3 linked regions of the Danio rerio genome follow. The protein of the gene in region 3 interacts with the protein of the main gene of each other region in a biochemical or structural test. Links are inferred from orthologs where the notes say so. Each region holds a gene or a part of one and is shown on either strand. Other genes may lie near its edges. The genes, in order: lck, csk and ptprc.

Region 1 (11,502 bases), on a different chromosome or scaffold from region 3:
GCTGACAAAAGCAGGCAATGTGACTGCCAAGAAATGATCTCATCCTGGATAAATATTGGAGAGAGAGAAAGAGAGAGAGAGAGAGAGAGAGGGAAAAAAGAGAGAGTGAGAGCGAGGCATGACAGAGAAAGCTGTCTTTCCTTAAGCTGTTGTCAGCACTGACATTACGCCCTTTTGTAGTTGATATCTCATAAACCCAGTGGCATTAGGGCAAAACCTCCATTGAAGAGCTGCTTTTGATTTCTCCTTCAAACAGAAACACAAACTATTTAGGTCACCTGAGAAGACACAAAAGGTGTATAGTTGTGTTGCGGATACTGATGCCCTCGAGGTCCAGAGGGGAAAACAAACACTCGTGAAAGTGTCAAGCTCTCGTGTAGAGCTTAATCAAACCATCATGATAACCTACTTAGAACTCAAAAGCAAATCTGATAAACACTTTCCTTCTGCATTTTCATCAGTGTTGGATTGTTCTATTGAATAAATAGTCTGTTTGCATAAATGGGATAAATAAACATCAATGCTATTTCCTGGAAATTATTTGGTTAAATTTTTTTAAAGCAGAATATGTATCTGGAGCATGATTTGCATAAGGGTTTTTCAAAATTCAAGGGCTTCAAATATACACTCACCGGCCACTTTATTAGGTACGCCTTACTTGTACCAGGTTGGACCCCTTTTTACCTTCAGAACTGCCTTAATCCTTTGTGGCAAAGACAGTTACTGAAAATATTCCTCAGAGATTTTGGTCCATATTGTCTTGATAGCATCATGCAGTTAATGCAGATTTGTCGGCTGTACATCCATAATGTGAATCTCCCGTTCAACCACATCCCAAAGGTGCTCTATTGGATTGAGTCCTGGTTGTGGAGGCCATTTGGGTACAGTGAACTCATTGTCATGTTAAAGAAACCAGTCTAAGATGATTTACGCTTTTTAGACATGACGTGTTATCCTGCTGGAAGTAGCCATCTGAAGATGGACACACTGGTCATAAAAGGATGGACAAGGTTAGTAATAATACTCAGGGAGTGTGGCGTTGACACAATGCTCAATAGACAATAATGGGGCCAAAGTGTGCCAAGAAAATGTCCCCTACACCATTACACCACCACCACCAGCCTGAACCGTTGATACAAGGCAGGATGGATTCATGCATTCATGTTGTTGACACCATGTTCTGACACTACCATCTGAATGTCCCAGTAGAAATCGAGACTCCCCAGACCAGGCAACATTTTTCTTTTCTTCTATTGTCTAATTTTGTTGAGCCTATGTGAACTGTAGCCTCAGTTTCCTGTTCTTAGCTGGCAGGAGTGGCACCTGGTGGTCTTCTGCTGCTGTAGCCCATATGCCTCAAGGTTCGATGTGTTGTGCATTCAGAGATGATTTTCTGCATACCTCGAGTGAAACGAGTGCTTATTTGAGTTACTGTTGCCTTTCTATCAGCTTGAACCAGTCATTCTCCTCTGACCTCTAGTATCAACAAGGCATTTGTGCCCACAGAACTGCAGCTCATTGGATATTTTCTCTTTTTCTGGTCATTCTCAGTAAACCCTAGAGATTACTGTGCATGAAAATTCCAGTTGATCAGCAGTTTTTGAAATACTCAGACCATCCCGTCTAGCACCAACAACCATGCCACATTCAAAGTCACCTTTCTTCCCCATTCTGATGCTGGGTTTGAACTGCAGTTATTAAGTTAAAGGCATAATATGTGCAATATGAGAGTATCCAAAAAAAAAACAATTGACCAGTGACTTATGTACTTAAATGATCCCAAATGTTTTAAAGAATTTTCCAATTTAAAGAAATTAGTTATTTTATTACTTACTGTGTCCTTAACATTCACTTTTTAAAAGATCAAGAAGTGTAAGCTTATTATCATTTAGCTTAATTATCATTAACCTTATTTATTATTATTATTATTATTATTATTATTATTATTATTATTATTATTATTATTATTATTATTTATGGGTTTTGTGACCCAGAATTAACTCTAGTTTTAAGAAGATTATAATATTGGCTGGATTTGTGTTTATTAGTCAGGTAAACATTAGCTTTTCTCAATGTTGAGAGGATTTTAAAAACACAATTCAACTAAAATTTAAAGTGTATAAGCACTAAAGTATTTTTTGTTGTTTTTTTACCCTAACAAAGCCTAAGCGAGGACATTTGTTCAACTTTGATATTTTGAAATTCCAACATTACATTAATTGTAGCGTGTTTACAGAGTTTTTTCAACTTCATTTTTTTTTCTTGATGCATCAAGTCTGTTTAATGTTAGTATAAGTTGAAGTTGACAATTTGGTCTCACTTTAAATAAAGTGGTCATATCTGCTACACTAAAAAAAAAAAAAAAAATTATATATATATATATATATATATATATATATATATATATATATATATATATATATATATATATATATATATATGAACAATAAGTCATGACGACATATATTTTAGTTCATTGTAAGTTATTAAACTAAGATAATCATATTCTAACTTAATTTCATAAGTTATGCAAGCAGTTTTAAGTCAGTTAAACTTAATTGAAGTTAAATGGACTCATAAGGGTAATTTAATACAGCATAAAAATTTAAGGTAACCAGGATTTTTTTTACAGTGTAGGTAAGAAATACATACAATGTACTTAATGTGCTCATATTGTATTGCGCAACAGTTCTAGTGCTATTGAAGTGGTATATGGGTGAGGTTAGGAACAGGTCAGGTGGTATGAGTAGGTGTAATTGTACAATTATAATCCAATAATTATAAGAGTGTAATTATAATTTTAATCACATAAATGAATTAAATCTGATTACATATAGATATTTTTTTAAATAAATGGATGATGTGAAAACTTGTGTACAAAAGTGCATTGCACATAAGTGTACTGCGTAAGATGATAGTATTACGGCCACTTAATATAAAGAGGATTTATTAGATTTAACTTCATTTAAAACAGTAACTACTCTTTTTACAAGGCTATGAATAGTATTATTCTTATTTGAAAATGTTATGGCGTGTTATCTATATAGTTCATAAATTAAAACAAATAATTAATTTACGCAAATGTTTGCAAATTAATGGTAAATCTATAGAAATGTTTAAATGTTTAAATATGTAAATTTAATCTAATTATTAATATACTGTACTTTACTTGTTTTACATGCATTCGAATTTAAAGTGTGTCACAGCCAGGCCAGGTTCTCCCCACTCACAATCACATGACTCACCCTATTCACTGTCATCGCAATCAGCAAGATCCCCGTCACTCGAATACTAATCAACAGCGCACATGCACGTCATATCCTGCTCATCCCTCCAGCCCATAAATACCTGCGTGCTTCCTCACTCAGTGTCTGGCCTCGTCGCATTCGAGAAGGACGAACTCTCACAGTCAGTCTATTCCTATTCGAGAAACTTATCTTGTCTGCTCCAGTGAATCTTTAGTTTCTGTTCTTTACTGGTTGTGTGTGTCCCATCATCATCAGTGTTCCTCGTCATCCATCAGTCTCCAGTTCATTCCATCGCTGGTTTACTGCTCATCCTCAGCAAGATAAAAGACTTATATTCCTGTTTGCCATATACCACTATTCTGTAATAAACTGTTACAGTTACTCACTCTGTTCTGGTCTCAGTCTCCCTTCTGTGACAGTACATCGAGTATGATAACATTTTAATATTCAATAACATATTTAAAAATACTATTTAAATACTATGTTAAATGTTGTTTGAAAGCAGCTTTGCAGCAACACTTGCAACATTTGTGGAGTTTGCATGTTCTCCGTCTGTTCACGTGGGTGCTCTGGTTTCCCCCACAGTCCAAAGACATGCGGTAAAGGCGAATTGGGCTTACTAAAAATTGACCAAGTGTGTGAAATCAAAAGACTATAGGTGTTTCAGAGTACTGGGTTGTGGCTGGAAGGGCATCCGCTGGGTAAAAACATTTGCCAAAATAGCTGGTGGTTTATTCTGCTGACGCGACCCCTGATAAATAAGGGACTAAGCTGAAGGAAAATGAATGAATGAATGTTGCAAAAGAGGAGAAATAAACCTCTACATCAGAACTATGATTATTTGTTCGGTATCACTTTATTTTGATGGTCCCTTTCACACTTGTTGTTGAATTTAAGTAACATTGCATCTACATCCCAACTAATAATCATAAGGCTATAAGTAGACTGTTAGGTTGGGGCTAGGGTTAGTATGGGTTCACATGTATTTGCAAAGTTTCTTAGTCTTATAGTTAAATGTCAGTTGAAGGGGCAGCATCAGCAGATATTAAGCAGACAGTCTACTAATACTCAGTTGAGAAATAATTGGCATGTAGTTGCAATTCAACCTTTGGTCAACAAAATATGCAAAAGGGACCATCAAAATACCTTACCATTTGTTCTTCCAATAAAATCCATAAAACATTTTTAACTTTTCAAATTTTCTCCCAGCACCCCCTTGTGGCCCCTGAGGCTCCCGAGACACCCATTTTTGTTACAAGAATTCACAATCTCATCATCATCATCTGAGCATTTGTTCTCATATGAGATGAAATACCTGTAAACATGAACATGTCTGTTAATGCCACGCTCCACATCCTCTCTCCCTCAACCCCCCCTCTTCTCAACCACAAGACCCCAAAGAAAAAAAAAAAAGCAAGCCATTGCTGCATGTCTATCACAAAACCAAAAACAACCACCAGAATTTGGTACACTAAAAAACACAGCTTAAAAATTGTTAACTCAGTTTAAAATTGTAAGTTAGGTGGACAAATTTTTGAGCTCAGAGTTGAATTTACACATGAAAATGAAATTTGAGTTTAACTGCATGTTTGGAACTGTTTGTTCAATGAAAATGTAAAAAAAAAATATTTGAGGAGATTTTTTCACTTGAGCGTTAACCACTGAAAAAAAAAGTTTAGTTAACTTAAAATGTTTAAAGCAACTGGCTGCAAGAAATTTTGAATTTATCCAGCTTCAGTGGTTGAAGTTGTGCCAAATTATTTAAAAAAGTATCCTTGACTTAAACCAGCCCTTTCAGACAACTTAAAAAAATTATTTAGTACAACTTCAACCACTGAAGCTTAATAAACTCACAATTTCTTTGCAGCCGGTTGCATTAATATTCTAAGTTAACTCAACTTTTTATTTTTTACAGTGTACTGTGGTCAAAATGATCTTATTGTGTGGTCCATCTTGCAAGGATTGAGCAACAGAAGAATAATAGAGATTATATATTCACCTTACAACATCTCTCCCTTTTTTCACCAAACCACAGCGAAACACTCTTTTTCTGCTGCAATCAGCAGACTCACCACATGAAGAGGTGAAGTCCGAAGAGTGTTGGCTGACACAAACCAAAAATAAACTCAAATGACGGGCCCAAGTGTCTAAATTAAGACGAGCGTTCCTGCAGTCGAAAAGTGAAGAATGTACCTCATTTCCTTTGAATGTTTGGGCTGCGACTTCCTGCAACTGCATGCAGTATCTGCAGCCTGATGCCACAACAAAAGTGTGCGGTTTGCTCAGAGAGAGCGACAAGTAGACAGATAATGAAGAGAGGCATGAGATGTCTTCATTATATCCAAGTAGCTGCTTAAAAAACGTCAGTCTGTCTTAGAAATGATGCAGCTAGAGAGCTCTGCACTGACACAACAGTGACTTTGTCTGAAAAAAGCAGAACAATCAAATCTAACATGTAATAGCAATGCATGATACACATGAAAGCCTTCCTGTAGCTCTATTGGTAGAGCATGGCGTTAACAATACCAATGTTGTGAGGGTGATTTCAAAGGAAATCAAGAATTGATAAAAAGTGCATTCACAATACAACACAAGGATAAAAGCATCTGTAAGTGTAAATGAATATGCAAATGGAGTGTTTTGTAGTTCTTTTCAGCACAAGCACAAGCCAAAAACCCATGAGTGCCGTTAAAAATTTCCATTCTTTGACATCATGGCGCCACAAAACCAGGTGACAAGTGGAGTCCTGACCCAGAATCCTTCACCCCAGTGACAGCAGCTGCTCAGAGCGACGAGCACCTGCTGCAAAAAATGTTAAATATCAGCTCAAACACCTCAACGACAGGAAGCTCTATCATCAGCTTGCTCTGCACCGCTGTGGTGCAAGCGTGCGCGTGAGTGTGTGTGAGAGAGAGAGAGATGCCTTTGTAAATCAAGTGCTTCTTTTAAGGTGGGAAGTAAAACTGTGATGTGACGTACACATTTTTACAATTTGGCAGCACATGTCTTTGAAACACGCCGAAGAAGATCTCGATGGTTTGTCTGTAATTTGAGGTGTAATGTGTTCTTGGTAGAAAGATAACGGTTATGGGACATGGCAACGCCTGCTGAAGTGGCCCAGCATTGATATCCGTGTCTTCTGTCGACAAAAATACGGTACGTTTTGTTAACTAGGAGATAACTTTTCTTGCCTTCGTTTTGATGAGTGGATGATATCAGAACACTTAAAATGGATTCTCAGATGGTATATTTTGTAAAAAAAATACTAGTTGTGTGTGTTGAAACTTTATAAATGAAAGCCTGAGATAGTTAAAGATTAAATAAATCAATAAAAAAAAAATGAAATCTAAAGATGTTGAACTGTCTTAAACAGACATGATAATAATTACTAAAAATCGCTATGTGTATATAAAGCGATTTATTTTTAAATATATAAACATGTGTGAACATTATGCACAATTTTCCATATTGGTCGAATATTACTATCGTATATGTGATGTAAAAGTCAACCTGAGTGTGTTCGGCTTGAAATCATTTCAATTTGAATTTCTTCAATGTTCAAAGTAAAATTTTTGGAGCACTATTATGCTACTGTCTTCTTAACGATCAAAATGTGTTACATTTGTTTTATTAATTTGTTTAATTGTTTTGATTTGTTCAATGTTGTTCCGTTCAACTGTAAGATCAGTCAAGTAAATTTCACAATATTAAAAGTATGCCTTCATTCAGTACTATAACTGCTTTCAGATTGATATTGCGATTAAACACTAAATCAATAAAACAGAAAACGTTTTCTTCTTCAGTCACAGAAAAGTGCTGATAGATTAACACTGGTGGGATTTTTTTGATAAAGGGAATTTCTGAAGAAAAAACCCTATAGATAAAATTTTAATAGTAGCTGCCACTTTCCAAATTGATTTAATTGACTCACTTTATTTATAATCGAAATCATTCCATCACAATATGTTAATGTATTAATGAGTTATTACTTTTTACTCATATATTCTTTAGGGTAAGTTTAAAAAACGTTTAAAAAAGAACACTGAAAATATGGTTCGGTATATGAATACCAAGCACTGGCTTGGCTCTGACTGTTTGGTGTGAATCAGTCAAGTTGATCCCTCGTGTCTCAACCTCTTGGCCTCTGTTTGCTCGCCAGCATGATGTTGAGACAGTGCACAGCAATACATGAAAATCCTGTGATTCTGTCAGTGGGATTTCAGAGGCATTCGATCTGTTTGCCTTCATTTCAAAACTACAGAATTACATCCCCTGTAACAGGAGAAAACCGAGGCCTGAAGGAGCACGGAACCATCTGCCATCAATAATACACCCTATATGATATTATTTTTTTATTGTAAACTCTAAAAAAAAATGCACTGGAAATTAATTACATGATCTTTGTGTATTGATCAATCCAGAAAAAGAGTGTCAAATAAACTCTAATAATATCAACGAAAGTTGATTTGTTAAACCGCAGAGTTCGCACTTTAAAAAAGAACTGGCTTCCTTATTTTAAAAAGTTCAATCAAATTAACTTCAACACACATTAAATTCACTTAAAACATTAATTTAAATCTTGCATAACTTAAAAAATTAAGCTGCAATATTATTAGGTTATTTTATAAGTTCAACTGACAAAACATTTGTTGCCGTGAATTACATTTCTTTACGGTGCGATTTTCAACATCAAAAGTTGATGGAGCAGAGATCAAGATGCCAACATGCAATTCAAAAGTACAAATAAACACCAGTTTAATCACAAGCTACAATTTCTGTTAAAATACACATTCACATGATTTTTTACGGTGTGGAAGACAAAACAAGCACTCGATTATTTACAGTAAGTGATGAAAAAGATCAGCCCATGTCATGCAAACATTAACTGTGCTGCATATTTCATCGGAACCAAAAGCATCTGACCTTGTCGTGCATCTCCAGAGATGAATTTGCACTGTTACCGATAGGGTCAGGAGGTCAGTGGAAAGTCTTGTCTCTGTTTGGAGATCCTGCTTTGATTCAGGCTGTTCTCCCAAACAGTCCCAGAGGCACACAGTGTTCTTGCTGACCCAGGGGTTCAGCTTTTCCTGACCCGACAACAGTTTCTCACGAGTCCAAACCCCACTGAGACATACACATTGACTTAGCACATTAGCTCCGATTATGTGTCTGCTTATGGCCAATTTAAACGCTTGGACTTGTGTGTTTTCATGTGTGTGCTGTACACATTAGCATTACACTGGATCTTGACACACACTAAAAAAATATGTGGATTGTTTTTTGAACGTTCCATGTTCGTAACACAAAATACAATATTAACAAGAATAAAACACACACACACACACACGTGTTTAGTGTAACCCTAATCTTTTCATTCATTCAAATAACACTCTGAAACTCAGCGTGTGAGTTGGAAACAATTTGTCTAGAACTCATGAAGAGGATTAACCTCCTTTAACAGATCTGGACCTGAACTGTTTTTCCTACCCGGCGGTTTTTCTTATTAAACGTTAAATATAAAATAAATATTTGTGGTTCTTTTTTTATTCTCAAAAAACAGAAAATATATGCTTCGTTAATTCCCTCTTTGTAACAGTATGATAAATCCTACACAAATAAATGAATGCAGCTACTGGAATGAAAACCAAAAGAGAATATTAGAATAAATAGTGGTCACAAAGACCTAGATTAGGGGTTTTCAGTTGTTTACACGCTACAACATTCCTAAATATGATCGTTTTTGTTTAGTGAGAGAGACACCATCGAATAATAAATAGGTCTAAAATAATAATTGGACATTTACAGCATGATAAATCTTACAGAAACAACTGAATGCAGATACTAGAATAATAGAGAGAATAATACAATAAATAGTGGTCACAAAGACCTATATTAGGGGTTTTCAATTGTTTACACGCTACAAAATATGATCATTTTTGTTCAGTGACAGAGACACCATCCTATTATAAAAAGGGTGTAAAATAATAATTGGAAGGTCACAGTATGATAAAAATACACAAATAATTGTATCTATGTAGCTATTAGAATTAAAATCAAAAGAGAATACTACAATAAATGGTGGTCACAAAGACCTAGAGTAGGGGTTTTTAGTTGTTTACGTGCTACAATATTCCAAAATATTAACGTTTTTTTTTTTTTTTTTTTGATTAGCGAGAGAGACACTATCCTATTATAAAAAGGGTGTAAAATAATAATTGGAAGGTCACAGTATGATAAAAATACACAAATAATTGTATCTATGTAGCTATTAGAATTAAAATCAAAAGAGAATACTACAATAAATGGTGGTCACAAAGACCTAGAGTAGGGGTTTTTAGTTGTTTACGTGCTACAATATTCCAAAATATTAACGTTTTTTTTTTTTTTTTGATTAGCGAGAGAGACACTATCCTATTATAAAAAAGGGTGTAAAATAATAATCGGAAAGTTACAGCATGATAAATCTGACAGAAATAATTGAATGCAGCTACTGGAATGAAAATCAAAACAGAATATTACAACAAACAATGGTCACACAGACCTATATTAGGGGTTTCCAATTGTTTACATACTACACGATTCCTAAATATGTTGTTTTTTTTGTGAGAGAGACACCATCCTATAATAAATAGGTCTAAAATAATAATTGGAAAGGTTTTATGCATTTGTATTGTGTTTTATCATTCATTTTAAGCCAATTATAAGATTATAAGTCTTAATCTTAAGGATTATCTTAATGTTTATCTATCATATTGCATAATTTATTTATATTTATATAATTTATTTATTATTAATCAGCTTTTCAGTTGAATATATATTTTTACATGACTCTTTTTGGAAAAGCCTTGTGAAAAGTACTCAATAATATCAAAACATATTTATTTCTCATTAATTTAGGATTGTTTGGAAAGTGCTAGATCAGTTCCTCTTGAATTTATACACCGATTAATGTCTAACGCAGTCAGCATTCTTATAGTTGCACCATTTTCTCTCATGCTTAGTAAACATGGGGAACTGCGGCTCTTTTGATCCTGATGATGAATTCTCCTACCATCCAGATGAATGGTGTGACCAGTGTAACTGCCCCAAGCCTCCAGTCAGTCAGGTGTGTGTTTGAGCATCTGTGTTTGTGTGTGTACTGTGTTTAAATAATGGCTTCCACTTCCGGTTTAGAAAACTTCCACTCAACATGACTGAAAAATCATTCTAATTATAAAGCTCAACTAAATAATAAGACACTGTTTGAAAGAGCTATATATTTTCTATCATGCTGTTTTTTTTAAGTGAGAAAATAAGTATGTTTTTTACAAACCGCGCTAAAACATATAATTGTCTCCTTATTTTTCTTAGCATTTTAAAACATCAATTTTGATCATATACAGTACATTTATAAACAACAACCATATGTGTATATAAACCTATACAGAATTCACTTTCAGTGCAACCATAATACTGCTAATCTGCTGATACTCTTACACTTTTAATACTCTTGCTAATACTCTTAGACGTTAAAGATTTCTTTAGATGGTGTAAGGGGAATAATGTCACCTTATTCTATCCTGGTTTAGCAAATTATTAGAGCAACTTTAGGGCAAACTTAAGGCAAATCTGTGGCAGTGTACTCAAATAATTTACTCGAAGCAACATGAAGCTTAATCATAATTTACAACTTATAATACATATTTAAAATACAATTAAGGGAGTATCCAACACAAGTGTGCTAAACACATGACTAGTGCAAAGAAGTCGCTCACTTCACAGCAGTCAGTTCGAAGCATCGTGATAAAACATACCACACTAAGTGTTTTCCTTATTTTCTATAATTCACATATACATTAAAAAAAAAAAAACTCTTACGCTAACTTAGGCTAATTAAGGTAGCTAATGGTTAGCCAACTGTGCTAGGGATGTGACGATATAGGATTGAAGGACAATGACCATTGCACTCCTCAAAATTCCTGTAGGATCAACATTGTAAGGGGAAAGTTGCTTTTAAATGTAATCTATTAAAATCTTCAGTGACTTTTTATTTTTTATTAATTAACGTGTTCTTAACGTCTTTTTAAGGAAAGTAATGTGTTATGTTTTTTTTGTGTTTTTTTCCGTCTTGGCTGGGCTTAAAATTGTAATAGGTTACTTTTAGAAGTAACTTTACCCAACATAGAGGACCATCCATGGACACACTGTATAATTCACACATTGAGCTGAAGATGATCATCTTCCAACTTTTTAAAATGTGTTAGTTTTCTGTTTG
Region 2 (11,460 bases), on a different chromosome or scaffold from region 3:
AAAAAGTTACCTACAAAATCCAGTTTTAGGGTTTCAGATTGAGTCAGCGTACTGAAAACTTTGTTTATTGACCATGGACCAGTTCTGTTTATTTTAAGCAGTTACTGGCCAATGCCACCAGTTTATCCATTTAAACTATTATCGCTATGCTTCACCTCATTTATGTTTGTTTCCGTTTTTTGTGGTCAGAAAAAAATCACCTACGATATCTAGTTTTAGGGATTCAGATTGAGCTAACATACTAAAAACTTAGTTTGGTTGACATTTGGACCAGTACTGAGCATTGTAAGCAGTTATTGGCCAATACCACCAATTTTCCAATTCTAATTATTATTGCTACACTTCACCTCATTTATGTTTGTTTTCGGTGTTCAGAAAAGAAATAACTCACGGAATCCAGTTTTAGGGTTTCCGATTGAGCCAAGGTTGTTTGTTTGGTTATACCAAACAAGGATCTTTATTATTAGGAGAGATGCTTCATGTGTTGCAGTAAACCTGCTTATTGAAATTAATGCGTGATTTTATTACACGTCATAATATTGTGCGCACAAACCCATAATTCAGTGAGCCCAAGTACTTTTGGGTAACGTATGAAGAGTTCTTCAGGGAGCACTGATAAAGGCAACTTTATTCACTCCTTCAAACTTAATATGAGAGGCACTTACAAGACAAAAGTCATCTATAAAAGATGGATATGATAGAAATAAATCAATGTGATAGAAATAAACTTTGAAATGTTTTACAACTGAAACCAGGAAATAAGGTACTGCTTTCATCAGATTCATTTGCTTCTTTTTTTCTAAATATCATTTTGTTAAACCTTTATTGTGACCTCTCCCAAACTTCTCTTTTTTTCTGTTGTATGATCTTTGTCATGTTCTCTTGGTCATTGTATGTTTATTTCTTATACTTTAAAAAAACTTTGGGTTAAGCTATGTACAATCTAGGGGTGACGTCACTAAAGTTGACCTCCTCAGGTGTCTAAAATTTCTTGTCTTAAGTGTTTGGAGAAACTAGAAACCAACAGACCTTATACATCAGCTAGTCTTAGTGATGCGGGGGGAGCAAAAAGCTCAATGTGAATTGTTCTTTTTTTTCTGTTGATGTTTGTCTGTAAGTTCACTGGTACAGCCTTTGATGGCTGTTGGAGAGCCGTTTGGTTCACTGAAATACATTTTGAGCTTAAAAACCAAGACTAAATGGGAAAGGAAATTAATGAAAGATAATTAATGATGCTAATGAAATTCCATTGTTCCATGTTTTGAGAACACCGAATAGTGAAATCCATTTTATAGTGGACGAGTACATACGTGTCTAATTATTCAGCAAATCCAGCTCTATAAGAGTTTAAAAATGTTGCCAAAATCCACTTGTTACTTGAGATTAGAAATATTACTGCTGTATTACTGATTTGCAGAAAAAAACAAAACAATTTGGCTCTAATTAATAATAGTTGCAGAGCCCAGTCGTAATATTCAGTTGAATATTGTTTCATACCTAAGCACTGCATATACTTAGATGTTAAAATGCAGTTTGAGATCATTCCTCTATAGGAGTTTGCTTCTAAAATCTATGACCAAACTGTCTTGAGCAATTGAAGAAGTGTTGTTGATGTTCATTTGCGTGGCTCCTCAATATTTGTCACAATGACATCACTGAAGGTTCCAGGAGGTTTTGTTCAGTATCTTTGAAAAAAAAAAAAAAGAAGCATATTTTTGGTTCATTTCCATTCTCGTAGCTTTTTCTTCACAGAAGCATGAGATAAAGGTTGTTAGCGTTGCATAACTTTATCATTTATCTCTGCACCTGTTGTAAAAGGGAAGATGCAATTTTGTGAATTTGTTCAGGCAACAAACTTGTTACCATTAATTATAAATTAACAACATATCTGTTCAGAATAGTTCTGATATCACTGGAAACCTTACATGCTCAACTTTGTCAACCTTGAAATGCAAGGACTGAATAAATAAAGAGAATGGAAATATGGCTGTGAATGTTGTTCTTGTCTTTTTTTTTTTTCTTTTAATAAAAGGATCATAAATATTACAATACTGACAAACTCTTTTTGTCTGTCTTCACCTGAGTATTTTTTCTTAATATGTGTTGCGGTGTCTCATAAAATCAAGGGCTATGAGTACTTTCAGTTTAAAAAGAATAAAATAAAGGGCTGGCTCCTGACAATACATTAAGGTTTTATGAGGCAAAATTTGTAATTAAATAATTTAACCTCATTGTGATTTAAGAGCCATGGATATTATTTTTGTGTTGTTTATAGGGTTTTTAATTATCAAAATATGGGGCCAAATCAGTCTCAAAAATAATACATTTTTAGAAATAATACTCATACATGCAAAGGTCAATCACATTTACAAAATCCAATTTGTAAATTCAAAGCATAATTCATAAATACAACATACGATTTGTGAATTCACAAGTAAAAATCATAAATATTTTCACCTAATGAATTGGATTTGTGTGTATATTATGAATCGTGTTTTGAATTTATGAAATTGATTTTTGTATTTATGAATCATGTTTTAAAATTACAAATTGGATTAGTGTAATTACGAATTGTTTTGAATTTTAGAATTGGATTTGTGCATTTACGACTCCTGATTTGAATTTACAAATTGGATTTCTGTACTTATGAATCGTGTTTTGAATTTACTAATTGGATTTGGCACTTTTAAATTGTATTTTAAATTTATGAATTGCGTTTGTTTATTTATAAATAGTGTTTTGAACTTTCGAATTGGATTTGTGTTTTTATGAATCGTGTTTTGAATTTACTAATTGGATTTATACATTTTTAAATCATGCTTAAAATTTATGAATTGGATTTGTGTATTTATAAATTGTGTTTTGAACTTTTGAATTGGATTTGTGTATTTACAAATCATGTTTTGAACTTTTAAAATGGATTTGTGTATTCAGGAATCATTTTTTAAATCTTTCTTATTGAATTTGTGCATTTACGAATCGTGTTTTGAATTTACGAATTGGATTTGTGCATTTACGATTTTTTTTGAGCTTTTAAATTGTATTTGTGCATTTTCAAATCCTGTTATGAATTCCAAACTGGAATTTTGTATTTATGAATCGTGTTTTGAATTTACTAATTGGATTTTTGCAGCTTTAAATCCTGTTTCAAATTTATGAATTAGATTTTTGTATTTATGAATCGTGTTTTGAAATTACGAACAGGATTTGTGTAATTACAAATTGTGTTTTGAACTTTCGAATTGTGTTTTTAAAGTTACCAATTGGATTTTGTAAATGTTTCTTGTGTTGTGGATGTATGAATAATATATTGCAAATTTACTATTTTTGAGACTCATCTGGCTCCATATCAAAATGTCAGAAGCTTGTGACTTGCATTCTCAGCTAAAAATGTTCCTAATTTTTCTACTGGATAGAAAAAGAGTCACCTACCTCTTGCATTTACAAATTCACATTAAAATTCTGGTCTAAGAGTTTCTTTAAATCAGAGATGCCCAAACTAGGGCCCGCGGGCCAAAATTGGCCCATGATAATCTTTGATTCATAGAAGACATGGACAAATGATGGGGAAGGTTGGGGCAAGAGGTCGTCAGTTCTAATTTTACATAATCTTTTGTTTGTTGGTTTAATTGCAGAGCTACAAAAAAACAAAACTTTGAATGTGAATGAATCAGATTTTACCAGGGCAATGAAATCCTTATACACATTTTTTTTTTTAAATGTTGAACGATTTTTATGTTATAAATAAAATTGTTTATGGTTTTATTGTAAGAAGTACCTTACAAAATTTAAAATACATATACAAGTATTCATACGATTATAGTTTTTTTATATTATTAAATTAGGGAGTTACCATGACAACTTTAATGTAAAGCAGTTTGATATGTTTGGCTTCAGTCCACCACCCTCAATCATGTTTAGATTTTGGCCTTTCGTAAGAAAAAGTTTGGGCACCCTTGCTTTATATATTACATTTGAATGGCTTTATTGTTGCAATTCTCTTTAAAAACGCTTGCTGTCGCTCCTGCTGCAAACTTATGAATCCTACCACGGTAAGGGACTATCTTATGAATGTTAAGCAGTCAATGCTAACATTGCTCAGTGTCTATTTTGTAAACCTCGTTAATATTGACATATTCACAGTAACATTTGTCATTAATCCTGCTTTACTCTTGTTTTCGGAAAATTTTCTTTAGCCTCACATATTTAATATTGAGAAGCCATATGCCCTCGCAGTAGTAGAATTCGTAGCATTACGACGCATGCGCACAACAAACGGGGCTGTCTGAAGAAGTGCGTTTCCTTTTCAAGGGCCTGTGAATGTGTGTGTGTAAAAGACAGCTGGAGCCCTAGGGTGTGCTGCGCTTCCGTAAAGCTTAAAAACTGCTCGCTTTAGGCGGCGTAGCATTTATCGACTTCCCTGGTCAGTAATAAGCTGCAACAGTTGCGTTTTTTTGGGGGGCTGAACCGTTTGTTTTCTTTCCCGCGCTGTGTGTTTTGTATGTGAGGCGTATATATAACCGCCGCTGTCTTTAACGGTTTTTTGCGGGTATATTTGTATGCACGGACGAACCGAACATCTTTTGTCTGGGTTGATGTTAAAGGAAAGCTCGTTGGAAGATCTATTTGACGCCGAATGTGTGAATGATCACGTCTGTATCTCGTGTTGATGCATTCTGGTGGGTTTGACCCACACATGGACTAAGTGGACGATCTTAAAACATCTACAACTTCAAGGCATTTGGACACCATCATCTGCAGAACACCTATAGGTAATGTGTTTTTGTTTTCGCTAATGTAACTGCGTGATATTAACCATATTTTTAGTATCTACTTGGACGTCTCATAATGGACGCATTGTGTTTGCGAATCTGAATGCGATGGGTCTGTTTTACAGCTGTCTAAATAAGAGCCACTTGAAGCTGCTGCATGAGACAAAAACGTGTCCTTCATGTTTTGTTAATCATCTTAAATAAAGCATATGCTCAAGATGCAAAGGGTTTGTTCCCAGAATGCACTGGGTGCGAGAAGGCGAAATGGACTAATGCCATTTTGAGATGCATTGTCTTTTTTTGGACCATCCGTTCTGTTCCCCATCAGCATCATTTTGGATTATGTTGTCATGGTTTCTTGAATGTTTAATAACAACATCTGAATGTAGGTCTGGCCTGTACATAGTTGACCCATAATAATACCCTTTTTAAAAGGAAATAGTAAACTTATTTACTAATAAACACCACCAGAGTCATTTGTGACCCAACCTGTCATGGTATTTAAAAAGAAAAAAAAATCCCATGTTAAAAAGACGGTTATTCAAATCATAGCAGAAAGGTCTCTCTGTGTTTTTGCCTTTATTAATATTAATGAGTTGCATTTATAAAGGTTGAAATCCAAAGGTCACTTCCTCCTGCTAAAGTGCAGACTTTAAAGACACGCTTCCCCAAATAAGGAGAATTGTAACTATCATGCTGTTTCAAACCAGATTTCTATTGGCTGTTCTTGCTTCTAACATTTTCATAGTGAATAGAGAATGGCTTTATGATGACAAAAAGTAAAAGTGTCATAATAATGGTTCACATTGTACGTAGTCCTGTACGCAGTCAAATCTTTGGAATGGGCTTGACTGGAGAAAATGCACAAATGTGACTCCACTTGTGTACATAAACAATATTAAATGAGCAATTCCATGCAAATGTCAACCTTGCCATGAAAAAATGAAGTTTTCACTAGAAAAGCGAGCAGTTTTTACATTTTTTTTGTGTAAGGAAGTATTTTACAGTACTGTAAACATACTCAATAATGAGTTTGTTAACATGGACACCAATAATCAGATTTTTATACGATTAAGACAATACTCTGGTTAGGAGTGATTTTTGATTAATTTAATCCGATTAAGATTATAATTGAACTAAAGAGAAATCGAATTAAGACATGTGGAGTATGTCGATACTTCATTATTGAAGTGCAGAACAGACATGTAAACAGCTTAATTAAACTATTACCATCATGTAGGACTTTTTGCTGCGTTTTGCGACTGGATAGTCCACACACACACACACACGGCTGTTTGACACTATTCTTTGCACCTAGAGTCAGTTAAGGACCACAGACACATGCACTGTGAAATGCAAAGTTTTTTTTTTCCATTCAGCGAGCGGTATGAAATTCCATTAAAACAACACACATCCAACAATTCATAGTTGCATCCAATATCTTGTTTGTCACGGGTGCATGCATGAAATGTTCCTGAATGAAAGTGAAAGAACCAAACTGCAGTTAAAGTGGAAAAATGAAAACTAAAAAAACTCAAAATGACATGAAACTCTGGAGAAAATGTGGATAGCATGGTGACGCAATGATGGTAATCGAATAATGTGCTATAACATGTAAAACTTGATCATGAAAGGAACATTCAAAAAGCAACTCGTGTACACCATAATAATATTATTGTCTTAATTAGATTAAGGCAAATAATTTGATTACTGATGTAAATGTAGTCAGTGTCTCTGTCAAATTCAATTGTCAAATTGGTACAGGTGAATTGGGTACACTAAATTGTCCGTAGTGTATGAGTGTGAATGATGATGTGTAGATGTTTCCCAGGGATGGGTTGCGGCTGGAAGGGCATCCGCTACGTAAAACGTGCTGGATAAGTTGGCGGTTAATTTCGCTGTGGTGACCCCGGATTAATAAAGGGACTGAACCAAAAATAAAATGAATGAATGAATATAATATGTTTTTCATGTACTATATAGTCTGGAAGTATGTGATTTCAGACACAGCCATCGTATTCAAAGCGGAAAAAGGTTGTTTTTAGTTTTTTTACCCAGACATTTAAGAAGAATATGATGACCCACATACGAAGTATACTTGTTAATTTAAAAAACAGTGCTACAGTTAATTATCCTTGATGAGTGTGGTGTTTAGTCTGTGTAACCCCTCCCACTGAAAATTTACCCAATTATATTCCAGCATCCTGGGTTGCCATAGTGTAAAGCACATAGTATTTCTTTTCAGGCTTGAAGACTGCCTCAGTATTTGCAGGTACGGCTTGAAAAAAGCAGCCTAGGAAAACGTAATGTGCCTTTAACATAACTACATGAATTGAAAAAAATATTATTAATATGGAAGAATAAACATTAAGTAGCTGTCTAAAACTACTTTGTTGATACAGTTAGATTAGTTACATGTTATGAGCCACCACATTTCTTCAAAAATTTTGCTCTTTATTCGTTTTTAAAGTGAAGTGATATACTATTTTTGCATTCAGTTGGACACTGAGCTGCATTACATACTAGCTGACAGGTAGGTATATCAGATGAAAGTGCCAAGATATTGGATGTCTCCAGTGAAACCACTCCTGTTTTTACCTTGCGAATTCCATTTCCTGTCAACGGCTTTTAGGAGAATGTGTTTTTCTCATGCACATGAACAGTGTCAGACAGAAGCGCCAACTAGGGATGCTTGATTATGGGAAAAATCATAACCACTACAGTGTTTCCCCTAAGTTTTTGGGGGGTTGGGGCTGTGGTGTGACACGGCCCAATGCAGCATGGCTGTTCAGCCTCACACTGACACAAGGAGTCATGGTCTTTTAATGACAGCAGTAAATAACTGAGCAACTATTTGAACTGTACAACCGTTTGTAATTTATAAATTAACTTTTATTTTATATCTTTTTTTATTCACAAACTGTGCAGCTTTTGTCACTATAATGTATCTTTTTGGGCTTCTGGAAGAACACTTCCTGTGCCTCTTGGTATGGAAAGTCAGAAATGTCTGGCCCATTTATTGAGACATTTATTAAACATGTCTCGTATAAAAATTTAGATGTGAACATGTCATGACCAGATGCAGCTCTACAGAAAATATTTCATCCATTTATTTTACTGAGCTTAGTGTCTTATTTATCAGGGGTCACCAAAGTAGAATGAACCACCACAGAAAAATGACAAACTATGCAATTTGGAAATATTGCAAATGATGAAAGATGAAATTTAGTTAAAATGCACATCTATAAATCTAATACTTGTTTGTTAAAAGGAAATAGGTCCATAAACTACTACTTATAGCAATGAGTATTACAAGTAGTTATATTAGTAAATATTTATGTAAAAAAAGTTTTATCTAATAAAGTGAATTTTAATATTATCAACACAGAACTTTCAGTTGTTATATGTAAAAAGGCCTAAATATGTGTAGGACCAGTCAAATATTTTGCCTCTCTCCAACTATTGACAGCAGATCTCTCAATGAGATAGAGGGGATTTGCACTCGCTTTATCTTTACTGCTCTATTCATTTAACCTGTGAAATGTAATATTTAGACCATCACTGTGCCTCTCGCGATCTGTTCACTTGCTTATTCACTCTTGTCGCCATGATTGCTGAGTATTTTAGTTTATTTTGGGGGGGATCACAATATGAATTTGCGGAAGACACGCAGAGCTTTCGAGAGAAGTCATAACTAGACACTAGATCAGGGATGTCAAACTCTATTCCCGCAGCCCTGCACAGATTAGTTCCAACCCTGCTCCAACACACTTGCCTGTAGGTTTCAACAAGCCTGAAGGACTCAATTAGTTTGATCAGGTGCGTTTAATTAGGGTTGGAACTGAACTCTGCAGGGCTGCGGCCCTCCAGGAATTGAGTTTGACATCCATGCACTAGATGGAGGAGATACCTCCGCTCGCAACACAGCATATGACATGCGCGATTTCCGGGAGATTAGTATTCGTTTGCAAGCGTCTGGGGTCTCTATGCATTTGCGGGAGACTCCCGGAACTTTCGAGAAACTTGGGATGTCTGCATTTGTAAATATTTTAGCTGCAGTGATGCGAGCGCAGAACAGAAATTACATGCTGTTGTGTAAATAAGATATTACATACGGCTATTTAGCTTGTTTAATAAAAAAACGTTGTGATCTGCCGCTACATAGATAATCCAATTAATGTGACTTAATTAAGGGGGGCAGGTACAGCCCTTGGGAGGGTGGGGCGCCCCCTTTATATAATGATATGGGAAACACAGCACTATTATTTTGGTCATGATTGTAATCATGATTATTTAAAATGATTATCAGTGGGCCACATGACCACACATTGTGTGTGTATATGTAAAAACCAGGTTGCTGTTACACCTATACTTTTCAAAAATCATTAAATTACACAATTCAATTCATCTATTTTCTTTTTGGCTTAGTCCCTTTATTAATCCGGCGTCGCCACAGCAGAATGAACCACCAACTTATCCAGCAGGTTTTTACGCAGCGGATGCTCTTCCAGCCGCAACCCATCTCTGGAAAACACACACACTCATACGCTACGGACAATTTAGTGTACCCAATTCACCTGTACCGCATTTCTTTGGCTTTTGCTATCTTTTGTAAATATCCGGAAAATTTCCAGAACGACTTTACCGGTAAATTCAAGAAAGCGCTGTTCACATAGACGAGGACGTTATGGAATTTTCCCGGAAAAGACCGTTCACACATCCATTCCAAAATACTGATAAATTCTGACCAGAAATGACCAGAAATGACCTCTAAACGGCTGCGCTTGTATTTGTAAACATTTGACTACATTACGAACTCTGTGGATGGATCAGTATTATGAACAACTTTGATGAAAACATATTGAGAAACATTTTCAGCACACCAGCAAATTACCGGTAATGTTACAACTTCTCATTCGGGAAAATAACCGGAACGAATTTACCGGTATTTTCAAAAAGGGCCAGTTCACACATACAGACCTCTCCGGAAAATTGCCGGTAATTTTCCAAAAAGAACTGTATGTGTGAAAGGGTCTTACGTGTCATTTGCAGTGAAATGAATGCAGTTTGCTGGAGTAGCGGAGAGATCTGACGCAATAATATGGCTGCTGGATATGACGTAATAATAGTTTATTCTTGATTAATGTTTTTTCATAAATGTTAAAGACCAAAATTGAAATTGAATTTCGAAATTGAATTGAATTGCACAGGTCTGGCATCAACAGCTTTCAAACTTGGCATTTTTTAAATGAAAAGTCTCCGCAACCCACTAAAATGCTTCTGCAACTCACAAGTTAAGAAATACTGGTTGAAAGGGCTGTGCACATAAATATACACTATACTTTGGTCATTAATGGATAGTTATGCTCCTATTGCTTATTTTATTTGTCATATAAGCATTTATATTTATTTTATAAAGGATAATCCCCAAACTGCCGTATCCTTCAGTCCATAAAATAGTTTGATAAAATTTGCTTGATGTTGTTGAGCAAATGGACGTTAAAATACGAGGCCCTCTTTTGAAGAGCATCAAAACAGCTCTTCCTGTTCAGTTCCTTTAAAATCACACCTGCGAGAGCTTCTCGGTCGGGCTTCACTGCATCTCGTCTGTCAGAATAATTGTATTTCTGAACAACTCGGCTCTGTCATTTACAATGGGTTTTCCCCTGCTGCTGAACTGCTGTGCTTTTCACTTGCTCAAAAAAGCATTTGTGGTGTTCTGCTCGATTTGCGTGTGCAAGAACATTGTTTTTCTGGCACATTTCGCCAGCAGCAGTCAGTTTTACAGGCATAGGCTGTTTCCTTATTCGCGTATACTACTCAATTCGACGTTAACACTTCCTTAAAGATTCACAAAACAACACGTGACACTGCCGTATCGCTTATTACGCTTCTACTGTCGTGTTAAATTGCAGTGTTACTTTGCCCTTTTAAAATAAGGAAACGAGGGACCATCCTGCTGCAAATATGACCATGTTGTGTTTCAAGGCAAGCTCAAGTGAAGTCATTAAAGCTGTCTGTTTGGTTGTAGAGCTGGACTTGTTTATGTTGGTAGTCTCTTTGCCTCCCTACTGTCACAGAGCCTGGTCAGTAGATGACAGAGCAGTGTAATTAAGCATCAAAGAGAGCTGCTGGAGCTGTTCTGCCCAGAGGGAAGAGTGTTCGCAGGGTCAAGCTGGTGAGAGACGCCCCCCTGCTATGATGCTGGATGGCGTGGAGCTTAAAAAGCTTTGTGGTCACAGAATGGAGGGAAATAACTGGGCATAATTATAAAGGCTAATGATATACGCCCAGTGTGACCCTCATTTTCTGGGGTTGTTTTTGGCCTTGTTGTATTTGCATTTGAAATGAGTGTGAATTTGTTCAGCGTAGGTCAGTCTCCAAAGAGAAGGCTCGTTGGGTACTTGTACGTTTGAGATCATAGGAATGTATTCTGATTACCCTAAAATGTAAATAGATAGGAGTTAGGAGTCTTATGGAAAATACATACAGCAGATACAAGGGGAAAATGGTCCAAAGACTTTCTGGTAGTATGATTGAAGAAGCTCATCTTGTAGATATAGCTCAAGAACGTTTATAAAAATTGACATTTTGTCAAAGTATTTATTGAGAGATGAAGAGGGCTAGTAACTAGGGCTGGGCGATTTGGCCTAAAATTAAATTCTCAAAATAACTCTTATGATTAGTT
Region 3 (10,789 bases):
GCGTGTCATGAGCTGGTTTGAATTAATACTTTTTTTTTTTTTAAGAATAACTAATATAATAAATGTTTAATTGTTTGATAGATGTTTTGAAATACATGATTTAATAAATAAATGAATACATTGCAGCTCAAACTGGGTGCAGAACTATCACTTTTTTCTTTTTTTTTTTTTGACAAATAGCAGATGGGGATTTTTTTTTTTTTTAAGGTTCACTTCTATTACCCCATCCATCTATCCATCTATCTATCATTCATTTAAGCCTAGTTAATTTGATTTTAAATACAGTTTTAAATAAAGTATTTTGTCATGTGCGTTGTGGACAACATGTGCTTGCGGTAGATTAATTTAAAAAATGACATTTAAAAAAAAATACAAATTTAATCAAGCCAATCATTGAACTTGATGACAACTCTTTCTAAATAACATGAGTGTGGCTGCGTGGCTTGAAATTCTTTTTGTTTCTTAGTTTTTTTCTCACCATTTGCAGATGGAGGAGTGTTTGCAAAACATATTAAAATATTTATTTCCTTTTTTTCTTTTTGGAAATTTTGTTTGTTGTTTGTAAAGATTTTTTTTTTCAATTAAACTTATTTGTAGAGGGTGTTGTTTGTGACACTGATTTTGGCAACAACATGAACAGCAGAATCAACAAATAGGAGAACAAAAATAAAGTCAAAACAAAATATGATTGTAGTTGACAATAGCATATGACTTCAAGGGCAGGGTTATTTTTTTAACAATAGCAATATTTGGAATATGTTAAAATACAAAAAAAAAAAAAGTTTGCTTTGTTATCTTCAAAGTCTGACCCTGACCGTTGCAACTCCCGAATTTTCATTGCCAATTTTAAGCCAATTGCAATCGTTTGTTTTGGTTCAATTTTGAATTTCCCCAACCATTACCATTATCCAACCAGAGTAAGGCCCAATCCCAATTATACCCTTTAGCCCTTCCCCTTACCCTCATTCTGCGTGTTCACATGAAGGGGTATGGGTGTCCCAATTCTCTTTATCTTGATGGCGTAGGGCAAAGAGGAAGAGCTAGATAGCTTTCGAAAAAGAGATTTTTCAGGACCACACTCAAAACCAAGGAGAAAGAAAATTTTCCAGAATACACCAGCCACAATGGCTGCATAGCTGCACCCAGAAGTCATGAGATGCACTAATTTGTATTTTTTGTCATTATTACAAATTTTTACGACAAACAAGCACATGTTTTAATACATTTATAACTGCGTTTGCATTTTACCGTCATGCTTTAAAAACAAATTATTTGGGATTGGCCCTAAAGTGCTCCAGCTTTGCCACCCCTAGTCCCCATTTGCTTCTGTGTTTGGAGTGACGGTACTTTTCTGTTAAAATCAGTTTGACATCTTCAGCCACAATACTTTTTTTAATCTTACAATGGAATGACATGGAAAAAGAAAGCCTCACCCCTTACTCGATAATCTGTTTTATTACATCAAAATACTGAAACAAAAGAATCAAAAGAAACAACTTCCGTTTCACTGAGACATTGATACTCTTTCTAAACAAATCTAAACTTTGTGTTTTAAAAATGATTTAGGCTACTGTGGAAAAGACTGTAATTCCTTTAGTCACCATGAAACCAAAGTTAAGATCGTCCAAATTTTCTTCTATCACAATTTACATTCACATTAAACAGTTCCTAAATTAGATAAAAAATGTAGGGCAATGCATGATTTCTGCATTGAGGCACCGATTGGATTGTTGGAAAATGAGTGTTAACAAAATGAAAGAAGATTGATGAACGGACAAAAGTAGGTCAGAAACAAGACAAGCACCGAGAGCCCCTCCCAAGAAGCACTCCATAAGACCAGAAATGAAGAAAAGCCATTTTGAAGGGGACGGAAGGTTATGGCACTTGATAAAATATTATGAAGGCAAATTAATTTGTACAAAATAATGAAGAACGCAAATAAATAGTTTATAACAAGCGCACTACTATATACATATTTTGATTTCGTTCTGACTGTAATTACAGACTAACAAAACAAACAATGGCTTCCTAAAAAAGCTTACTAAGAAATATAGAAATGAAACATACAAACTTATTTTGAAGTTATTATGCCAAAACAATATTTAGCTTACTGTACAGGACTGCATAATCCCCCTTTCCCTCAAACTGCTCATAAATACTAAAGATAGTGTAAGTGTCTGAGCATAAAAGCATCTTTAAAATACATTAAATATAAATATAAAAGTCCTGCAGCCCATATTTCATGCCAGATGCAAATATGAAGCACGGCCAATAGCATGTTAACATGCATAACGAGGAACCGCAGAGAACATTTGAGCATCTCTGCATTCATTTGCTATATTTAGAGTAAGCTTGAAGTGCTCAATTAGAGACGAAACCCGTCACAGAAAAACACACTAATTACAGAGTGTATGAGGCCAGTTTCAGTTAAATCTCCTATTGAACGTACAGTAGGAGAAAGGAGGATTCTCATACATTTCATGAACACACAAAAACTACAGTGAGTTGAAATGTTGCATATGAAAGATGGTATGATAATTGCATGGCGGGGAGGAGTTACACTTGACAGCTGAATGCAAATGCAGCTCGCAGATACACTGATGATTTATTTAAAGGGAATTTCCCTCTTTGACCCGTTCAGACGTGGCTCACAGTAAAACAGTTCACTTTCACCCCGTGTTGCCCTATTTAACACTTTAACCCCTAAAAATGCATACATACTTATGGTTAAAATGTCAACATGGCTTAGGATGTATTAAGATTTAATTTAAAGTTACTGTTTTCAAGTATTTTCTATTCTTCATGCATAACAATAAATTAAAAAAATAAACAAACACACACAAACAAGGACATTTGATAATCCTCATATACTTATATATATATATATATATATATATATATATATATATATATATATATATATATATATATATATATATATTGTACATAGAAAATAATATATATTAATATTATATACATACAGTGCTCAGCATACATAAGTACACCCTCCTTAAATCTCTGATTTAAATTTATATTTTCTATAAGATGATTTATGATATTATATTAATGCGCATTAGTTTAGCATGTACTGAAGCCAAATCTGGAGCCAATATGACAAAATAACTTACAATTATGGTTCAAAAATTAGTATTCCGAATTTTTATGTTAGGGGAAAATATTCTATATTTTTTTCAAAAATATAAAAAATTAACAAATATATATATATATATATATATATATATATATATATATATATATATATATATATATATATATATATATATATATATATATATATATATATATATATATATATATATAAGGTTTTGTGGAAATTTTGTAGGCTGTAATGTTTTTTTGTAATATTTTGCTTGAATATAAATGTATTATCTTTAAATTTGTAAATATGTTTTGTGACTAAAATATTATTTTAATAAATACATCTGTTTGATAAATCTGTTTTGTTCAAATGCACCAATATTACCCATATGCCCTGAGAAATAGATACATATATTCATTTTTAAAAATGGAGGTACTTTTATTTGCTGAGCACTGTTTATATTAATAAATATGGGCCTATTGACATATAGAAGTTTTTTTTTTTCTTTAGAAAGGACATTTGGCAATTTAACAAATGTTTAGATTTGTTGTCACTGAAAATCACGTTTATTCCACTAATTGATTTCAAAAGTTGAAAGGTGTTGAAACAACTTATAATGTTCCAATGACAAAATGTGCATTTTTAATGTAGATGAAATTATATTAATAGTTTGCAGAATTAAGTGACTGCTGTTGACTGCTGGCAATAAAAAAATAAAAATAATAATGTGTGTGTGTGTGTGTGTGTGTTTTAATAAATATAGTTAATGCAATTATTCTAGTGAGATTATATTGACTAAAAATTGACTTTTGGATTTGGAGCTACTGATATATAAGTAAAATATTCATCTGTTCCAGTGTCACCATTTCACAATAAGGAAAACAAAATTGTTTCCCCCTGAATTTTAGCATGATTCCCCCCGAATTTAATATCCTTACAATTATGTTTAATTATTATAGGCTTGTTCACAGTTATATTAAAATGTTTAGCATACAAACAGACTAATAAATAAAACTCTTCCAAATACACCTCTGCTACTGTATAATGTAACATATTGGCCTATAGGTTATAAAAATAGGCATATTAAATAATTTGCTTTATTCATAGCAAGTTAGAAATTAAGCATACATTATAGACCTACATATTTCCACAGTGGCACACTAACTGATGTTGCTTTTATTTAACATCTTTATTAGTAGGCCTACCGGAAAAAATCATGCTGGCTTGAAGATGGATGAAATGTCCGTGCACGCGCTTCTTTTGTTAACAGGCGCCATCTTGTGGTTCATCTTTACAATACAAAGGCTTGTTTTAAGTCACAGTAGCGCTAATTTCAAACGTTTTGCGTTTTCTAGGTCAGGTTTATGCACCTGACGAGCACAAAAGCGGGTCAAATTAACCATAAGGAAATACCTTGACCCGAATGCACAAGTGACACTGCTCGTGTTTATGTTCACCTGTGAAATAGGCATGCTTTTTGTTTAAGCCTTATGCACCCGTTTGGTGTGAGTAATTTGTTTCATTGTATTTCATTTTAGTAGCCCCGTGTGGCACATCTGGCATAAGAGAAGACACGGATCACTGTATTCTTGAGAAAACATTTTAAATATTGGACATTCTTAAAACAAAAAATTACCAATAAAAAGGTGCGAAGCACCAAAAAAGTACACATTTAAATAGGTTTTTGGCTAAAATCGTCAAAAGTGTGGTTATGATGACTATCTGACAAGCTAATTCAGAAAAGTGCTTAAATGTCACTAAAATGCAGTATTTAAATTTCACAATTCAATTGAAAATGAGGTGTATAATTGCAAAACAGTCCACTTTTTGAGAAAAAGAACCCTTTTCACCAGCTTGGATCCTGATAACATTTCTACTCATTTAAAATAGAAAACATTGCAATGAAGAGGCATTCTATTGGTGAATAAAAACAATTACCAGTCATATTGTTCAAGCCTTTATTATTTTGTTAACTTACATCTGCTTAAAATGAAAATAGGTAGCCTATGAAAGATTCAGAAACACACAGTAAAAAGAAAGATAGTTTGATGACAGCTGTAGTACAAGTCATCCTTGCCATATTTTGTTATTCTTGAACATAAAAAAATAAAAAATATTTATTCACATCAAACTTCCAATACAACATAATTTAGACGCAAGATTGTGCTTTGATAGTTTTCTAAAAACAAAACAAATGGTAAGGTCCTATTTTACAATACATTCAAATGCAATTTGATAGCCTAATAAACTCAGATCATAAAGCAACACCTTAACACGTGTGAATAAACAATCAATATAAACAGATTTGTCACAAATATCATAATTACACAGAAAAATTCAAACCTGAGAGGAAAAGTTTAAAAGGATCAGTAACATGCTGGTCAAACGACAACAAATGTACTGTAAAACTAAAATATAACCAAAAAAATACCAGAAATATTATTTTTTACAATTTTGGCAGACACTTGGTGTCGAATCAGTAAAATGTAGCTGAATAAAAATGGCTAAGCTTCAACAGTGGCGGCGGGCCCGTTGGTTGTGGCCTCCGGTGTGTTTTTCTCTCCGTCTCCCTCTGCTGGTGAAGCCGCGGCACTGCTGTTCTCCTTGGCCTCCAGCTCACTACTCTCCGTCGTGGTTTTACCGTCTTCCGTCTCCTTCTGTTCGGTAGCAGGAGTGCTGTTGGCGTGCTCGGTGGCGGCCTCAGCGGCGGGCTCGGCGAGGAGCGCGGTGGTTTCGTTAATCTGCACAGGTGTTTCGTTGATGATCTCCGCGCTGTCGGTTGCAGCCGGTGTCTTTATGGTGCCATTTTGCACCGGGAAGGCGCCCTCCAGAGTCGTATAGAGGAACTGATACTGCTCCTGTGATGAGTTCAGAGTTTTACTTCAGAAGTGTAACTTAATATAGTTTATTAATTTGTTTGATATACATTAACTAACTATTAATTCTTTTTAACCGTTAACCGGTTTTGGTTAGCATTTTTTTTGCATATGCTAGCAAAAACCGTTTGAATTAGCTAAAAAATATGGTTTGTCTGTGGCCATGTTTGTTAACTTTTCTCTGAGGTAGGCCTACTTCAAAACCTATTGTTTTGAAATCTCTTTAAAAGCACTTTTTAGAAACATTTTGACAAGAGTTAGCAAGATTTTAATTAAACTATGAATGTGTGGCCCTGTTTGATTTTTTTTGTGAAACATTTTAAAAGACGCTTAATTTTTTGTTAGAAATATATAGAAAAAAAGGTAGTCAGGGTTTGTTTTGTCTGTTCTGTTCCTTTTCTTTATACCTTTATATTTTTCATCTTTTATATGCCGTTTAGGGCATGCTAACAATACCAATGGTCCTATTGTATTTCCTGTTTTACTTTTTTAATTTCCATAGCTTCAGAATTTTAAAAAAGGTTTGCATATTGCTAAATGGTGTTATAATAGCTGTTTTAACATTAAATTATTATTATTAAATTGTCTCTTACTACATTTATGAAATAATTTTACAAGCAGGACAAGCAGGAAATGTTCATAGGCTAGTTGCATCACCTCATTGAAATTGTCTATATTAGCCTATATTACAAAATAACCTTGCATAATGTGAATATGGCCCAAGAAAACAATACTTCTCTGAAAGCCACAAAATTACAATGGGCATTTGAATGAACATTTATTGATGAATATTTTTGATATATAGTAATAGAAAATTCATTAAATCCTATTTACAAAAGAAGAATTAAAACTTACAAATGTTTCCACCATTCCCTGTCTCTCCTTGCGCAAGTTTTTGACCACTTGGAAGACGTCAACCAACTTTTCTGTTAATGAGCAATCCATAAGATTCCACAAAGCACAGAAGAGTCCAGTACGCGATGACCCATTGCTGGAAAAACGAGATTAAGATAGATAGATTTATTTAATCTATCCATAGATCCATCCAGAAAAAGTAGGTCTCCGGTATTAGCCTTACCTGCAGTGCACTACTATAGGGATGCTCCTGTTTTTTTTGCTGTTGTCATATTTGCCATTCTCTCTGATGTTCTTTATCATCTCTATCAACTCCTGAGCATTTTCTGGAAGTTCATTGCTTTTCCATTTTAGGAACTGGTACTGATCCAACTCCAAGATTTCGTTCTTCTATTATAGGATTAAAAACGAATCAATCAGTGCATCCAAAATGATATACTACAATAATTTTGTATGTGAAAACAATATGTGTGCTGAGTAGTTTGTCTAAATTAATTGTATTTGGTAAACAGGTGAGAAGTACTTGGATGACTCACAGGTAGGTAAATAAGGTAGGTGATGTGATAATAAATGGTCGATGTAGTATGTTTAAATTTAATTTATGCTACTCACATTTGTACTATATAGAACATACTTTTTTAAAGGTCGGCAAATACGGTCAGAACCAACATGAGTAGTGTGTGATTTCAGACACATTAATGACTTAATTCAACGAAGATAACATGTCTTCAGTTAATAGCATGACAGATATTCCACTTACCTTTGTGGACTGTATTTCCAGGTGACGTTTTACATATGTTGGGAAGCTTTCTGTCTTTTTCACCTCGATTTCCATATCTCCAAACACTTTCTTTTCATCTCCCCAATACTGACAGCACAAATCCTAAAAAAAATACAGATGGGTCACTCTACCGGAATGTCTAATCAATCAAATTTCAGAAAATGTCTACAAAAAAACAAGAATAGTGCCGAAATCCAAAACATTTAATGTCATTGATGTTTATTTAGTGCGTAACCCACTATTTTTATGAGAGAAAAATGTAAACATGCCAATTTTCACTTAAGTCAAAAAATGACTTTTAGAATAATTTTACATCATTATGTTTTTTTTACAGAAATATCGGATGATCTGTTAGTAAAATCTGTTTACTTTGGCCATATCTGTAGCATTATTTGGTGATCTGTTAGCGAAATCTGTTGACTTTAGCAATATTTCTTGCATTATTTGGAATGCTATTAGTAAAATCTGTTGACTTTAGCAATATTTGTTGCATTATTTAGTCATCTATTAGAAAAATCTGTTGACTTTAGCAATATTTGTTGCATTATTAAGTCATCTATTAGAAAAATCTGTTGACTTTAGCAATATTTGTTGCATTATTTAGTCATCTATTAGAAAAATCTGTTGACTTTAGCAATATTTGTTGCATTATTCAGTCACCTATAAGAAAAATCTGTTGACTTTAGCAATATTTGTTCCATAATTTGGTGATAGCGAAATCTGTTGACTTTAGCAATATTTGTTTCTATCTGTTGTCTGGTACTGTGGGAGTTCATACCTTGCCGTCCTCTTGACAGTCTGTGAGCATAACAACTGTTTTAGTTTGCTGCTGGTACAGCATGAGCAGAAACTCTGCTGTTGTGTTTGGTAAAGGCCCTTGTGCTGCGATCAGACTCTTCTGACACCAGTAGCCCTGTTGGAAATCAAAAGGTGTGTATGGGTTAACGTTTGGGTAATTTATTCATTATTTTACATTTTCTCCTCTAGTCCAACAATTGAATAATATAAAATCTATAAATTAATTAAAGCCTAGAAAATCAAAAGTCGTACATCTAAGAATGAAGCATTGATGTATTCATTAGATTCTTCTTCTTCTTCGTCTGATGAATACGTGTCATCCTCAGGGTCGCTGGTCTGGTTTCCCGCAATGTCCAGTCGAAACAACACTCGATTATAATCATCTGCAAAATAATAATAATAATAATAATAATAATAATAATAATAATAATAATAATATTTATCTGATACTAATTCAAAACAAATTAAAAATCTTTTTTTTTTCTGTGTTTACTGGAACTAATACTGTAGGTGTGATTTTTAATGAAATGTTAATATTTCTTTAATTCAATAAAGGTAATTATTATTAGTATTAACATCAGGTCTTAATTTTTCTTTGTTCATGTATTGCTACCCAGTCTGGCCAACACCCATGCAACAATTGATCTAAATAAAACTTTTTAACAAGGTAATTTTTAACTCTATTTACCATAATGGTTTCATTATTTTCTTTACAGTAACATTTGTTTAATGTATTGTGACGAGCATCCCATGAAGCTATCAGCATCGTCCTGGAGAGGAACGAGGAACACCTGGGCCCTCTCGTTCCCAACTAATCAGCACCAGCTGCAACTCATCCAAGACCGGCTACATAAGCCACACCGAAAGAACTAGAAAGGGAGAAGCATACGAAGGAAACAGAGCAGTAACTCTTATTCTCCCTTTCTTTCCTGCAGACAGCAGTTGGTGACGGATCGGGTTCCTAGACCCATCTCACAGACACTGAGCACCCCACGGATGCAAGAACATCACCCGCTGGAGCACCACTTTGGATTTTGCACTCATGCACCTTTGTAAATAAATCCACCCTCTGGGATCTAAACTAGTTCTTTTTGTCGTGTGATTCTTCAGCCCATCATAGTATTTACTGCTGAGGACGTTGACCTGGACAGATTGTTGTGCGTAGATTTATTTTATTATAGTTTTATAACTTTTAAAACATTTTGTTTATTTTTTTTATTTTAAAGAAAGTTTATGTTGGAAAAAGTGTATGGATACAAGTAAAGCTTGCTTGTTTTTACACAATATATGAAATATTTTGCAAAGAAATACTAAAAATATTTAAAAATATATTTAATTATTATTGTATTAATTAATGTATCAAATGTACTTATATTTGATAGGGCAAATAAAAATCTTTTCCATCTGGACCATTTGAAAAATTCCTTAGCGTTTATCGCTTTGAGTCTAAAATTTCATTTATAATGATCTAAAAATGTCTTTTAAAAGTCTTAAATTGAACACAAACCAGTAGAAAATGTTATACTTTACACAAACACAACTACAAAGCATAAATCTAGAGAGTTTTGAGTTGTCTCTTTGAATTTTTTGAGTTATATAAATATGTATACTAGGGCAACACAGTGGCGCAGTGGGTAGCACTGTCGCCTCACAGGAAAAAGGTCAATGGTTCATGTTCTCCCCGTGTTCAAGTGGGTTTCCTCCACAAGTCCAAAGACATGCGGCACAGGTGAATTGGGTAAGCTAAAGTGGCCGTAGTGTATGTATTTGTGTGTTTCCCAGTGTTGGGTTGTGGCTGTAAGGGCATCTGCTGTGTAAAACACATGCTGGATAAGTTGGTGGTTCATTCCGCTTTGGCAACCCCTGATTAATAAAGGGACTAAGCCAAAAAGAAAATGAATGTATGAATATGCATATTACTATAAGTCACTTTTGATAACTCACATGGGATGACTTTTGAGTCCCGATTTTTGTCCTTGTTTTCTTCGCTGCTTCCTGTGTTGATTGTTCTCCAGTTTTTAAATTTCGGCAGTTTCTTTGTAAAGCAAATCAGAGAGAAGACTATGTGCATTAACAGTCAAAAGCACACAATCAGCCAGATAATAAAATGGAACAAACCTGGAACTCTATTTCCATTATGCTCTCATTGCCTTGTTTCTCTCTGATGGTGTTGAGCACTGAGTGGAACTCAGACAGGAGGATCTCTGTCTCTCCAAACTGATTGTGCTCTATTAGAGCTGTGTGGATCAGTATGTACTGGGCCTGAAACAATCAATACAGTGTTACATGTTAAATCAAGGAAACACACACTCATGAAATCTTATTGCTTGCATACAGAACTAATTTGATGGATGTCTTTATAGTGGTTTAAAGTGAAAT

The links.
Region 1: of the proteins of ptprc (region 3) and lck, one has a biochemical effect on the other in vitro, tested with the Homo sapiens proteins (5 studies listed by BioGRID and IntAct, with this or other methods). The link is inferred for Danio rerio from reciprocal best matches to the Homo sapiens genes PTPRC and LCK.
Region 2: of the proteins of ptprc (region 3) and csk, one has a biochemical effect on the other in vitro, tested with the Homo sapiens proteins (2 studies listed by IntAct). The link is inferred for Danio rerio from reciprocal best matches to the Homo sapiens genes PTPRC and CSK.

Annotation. Positions count from the first base shown.
Region 1 is NC_133192.1:26,769,686-26,781,187, reverse strand, and holds the start of lck (tyrosine-protein kinase Lck), read left to right. Parts: upstream 1-6,168; 5' UTR 6,169-6,198; exon of another isoform or gene 6,199-6,322; 5' UTR 6,323-6,404; intron 6,405-10,249; 5' UTR 10,250-10,254; coding exon 10,255-10,353; intron 10,354-11,502. UniProt on the Homo sapiens protein: Non-receptor tyrosine-protein kinase that plays an essential role in the selection and maturation of developing T-cells in the thymus and in the function of mature T-cells. Plays a key role in T-cell antigen receptor (TCR)-linked signal transduction pathways.
Region 2 is NC_133200.1:21,917,785-21,929,244, reverse strand, and holds the start of csk (tyrosine-protein kinase CSK), read left to right. Parts: upstream 1-4,423; 5' UTR 4,424-4,772; intron 4,773-11,460. UniProt on the Homo sapiens protein: Non-receptor tyrosine-protein kinase that plays an important role in the regulation of cell growth, differentiation, migration and immune response.
Region 3 is NC_133197.1:22,809,340-22,820,128, forward strand, and holds the end of ptprc (receptor-type tyrosine-protein phosphatase C), read right to left. Parts: intron 10,673-10,789; coding exon 10,529-10,672; intron 10,446-10,528; coding exon 10,355-10,445; intron 8,794-10,354; coding exon 8,663-8,793; intron 8,526-8,662; coding exon 8,391-8,525; intron 7,715-8,390; coding exon 7,592-7,714; intron 7,222-7,591; coding exon 7,055-7,221; intron 6,968-7,054; coding exon 6,832-6,967; intron 5,959-6,831; coding exon 5,605-5,958; 3' UTR 5,045-5,604; downstream 1-5,044. UniProt on the Homo sapiens protein: Protein tyrosine-protein phosphatase required for T-cell activation through the antigen receptor. Acts as a positive regulator of T-cell coactivation upon binding to DPP4.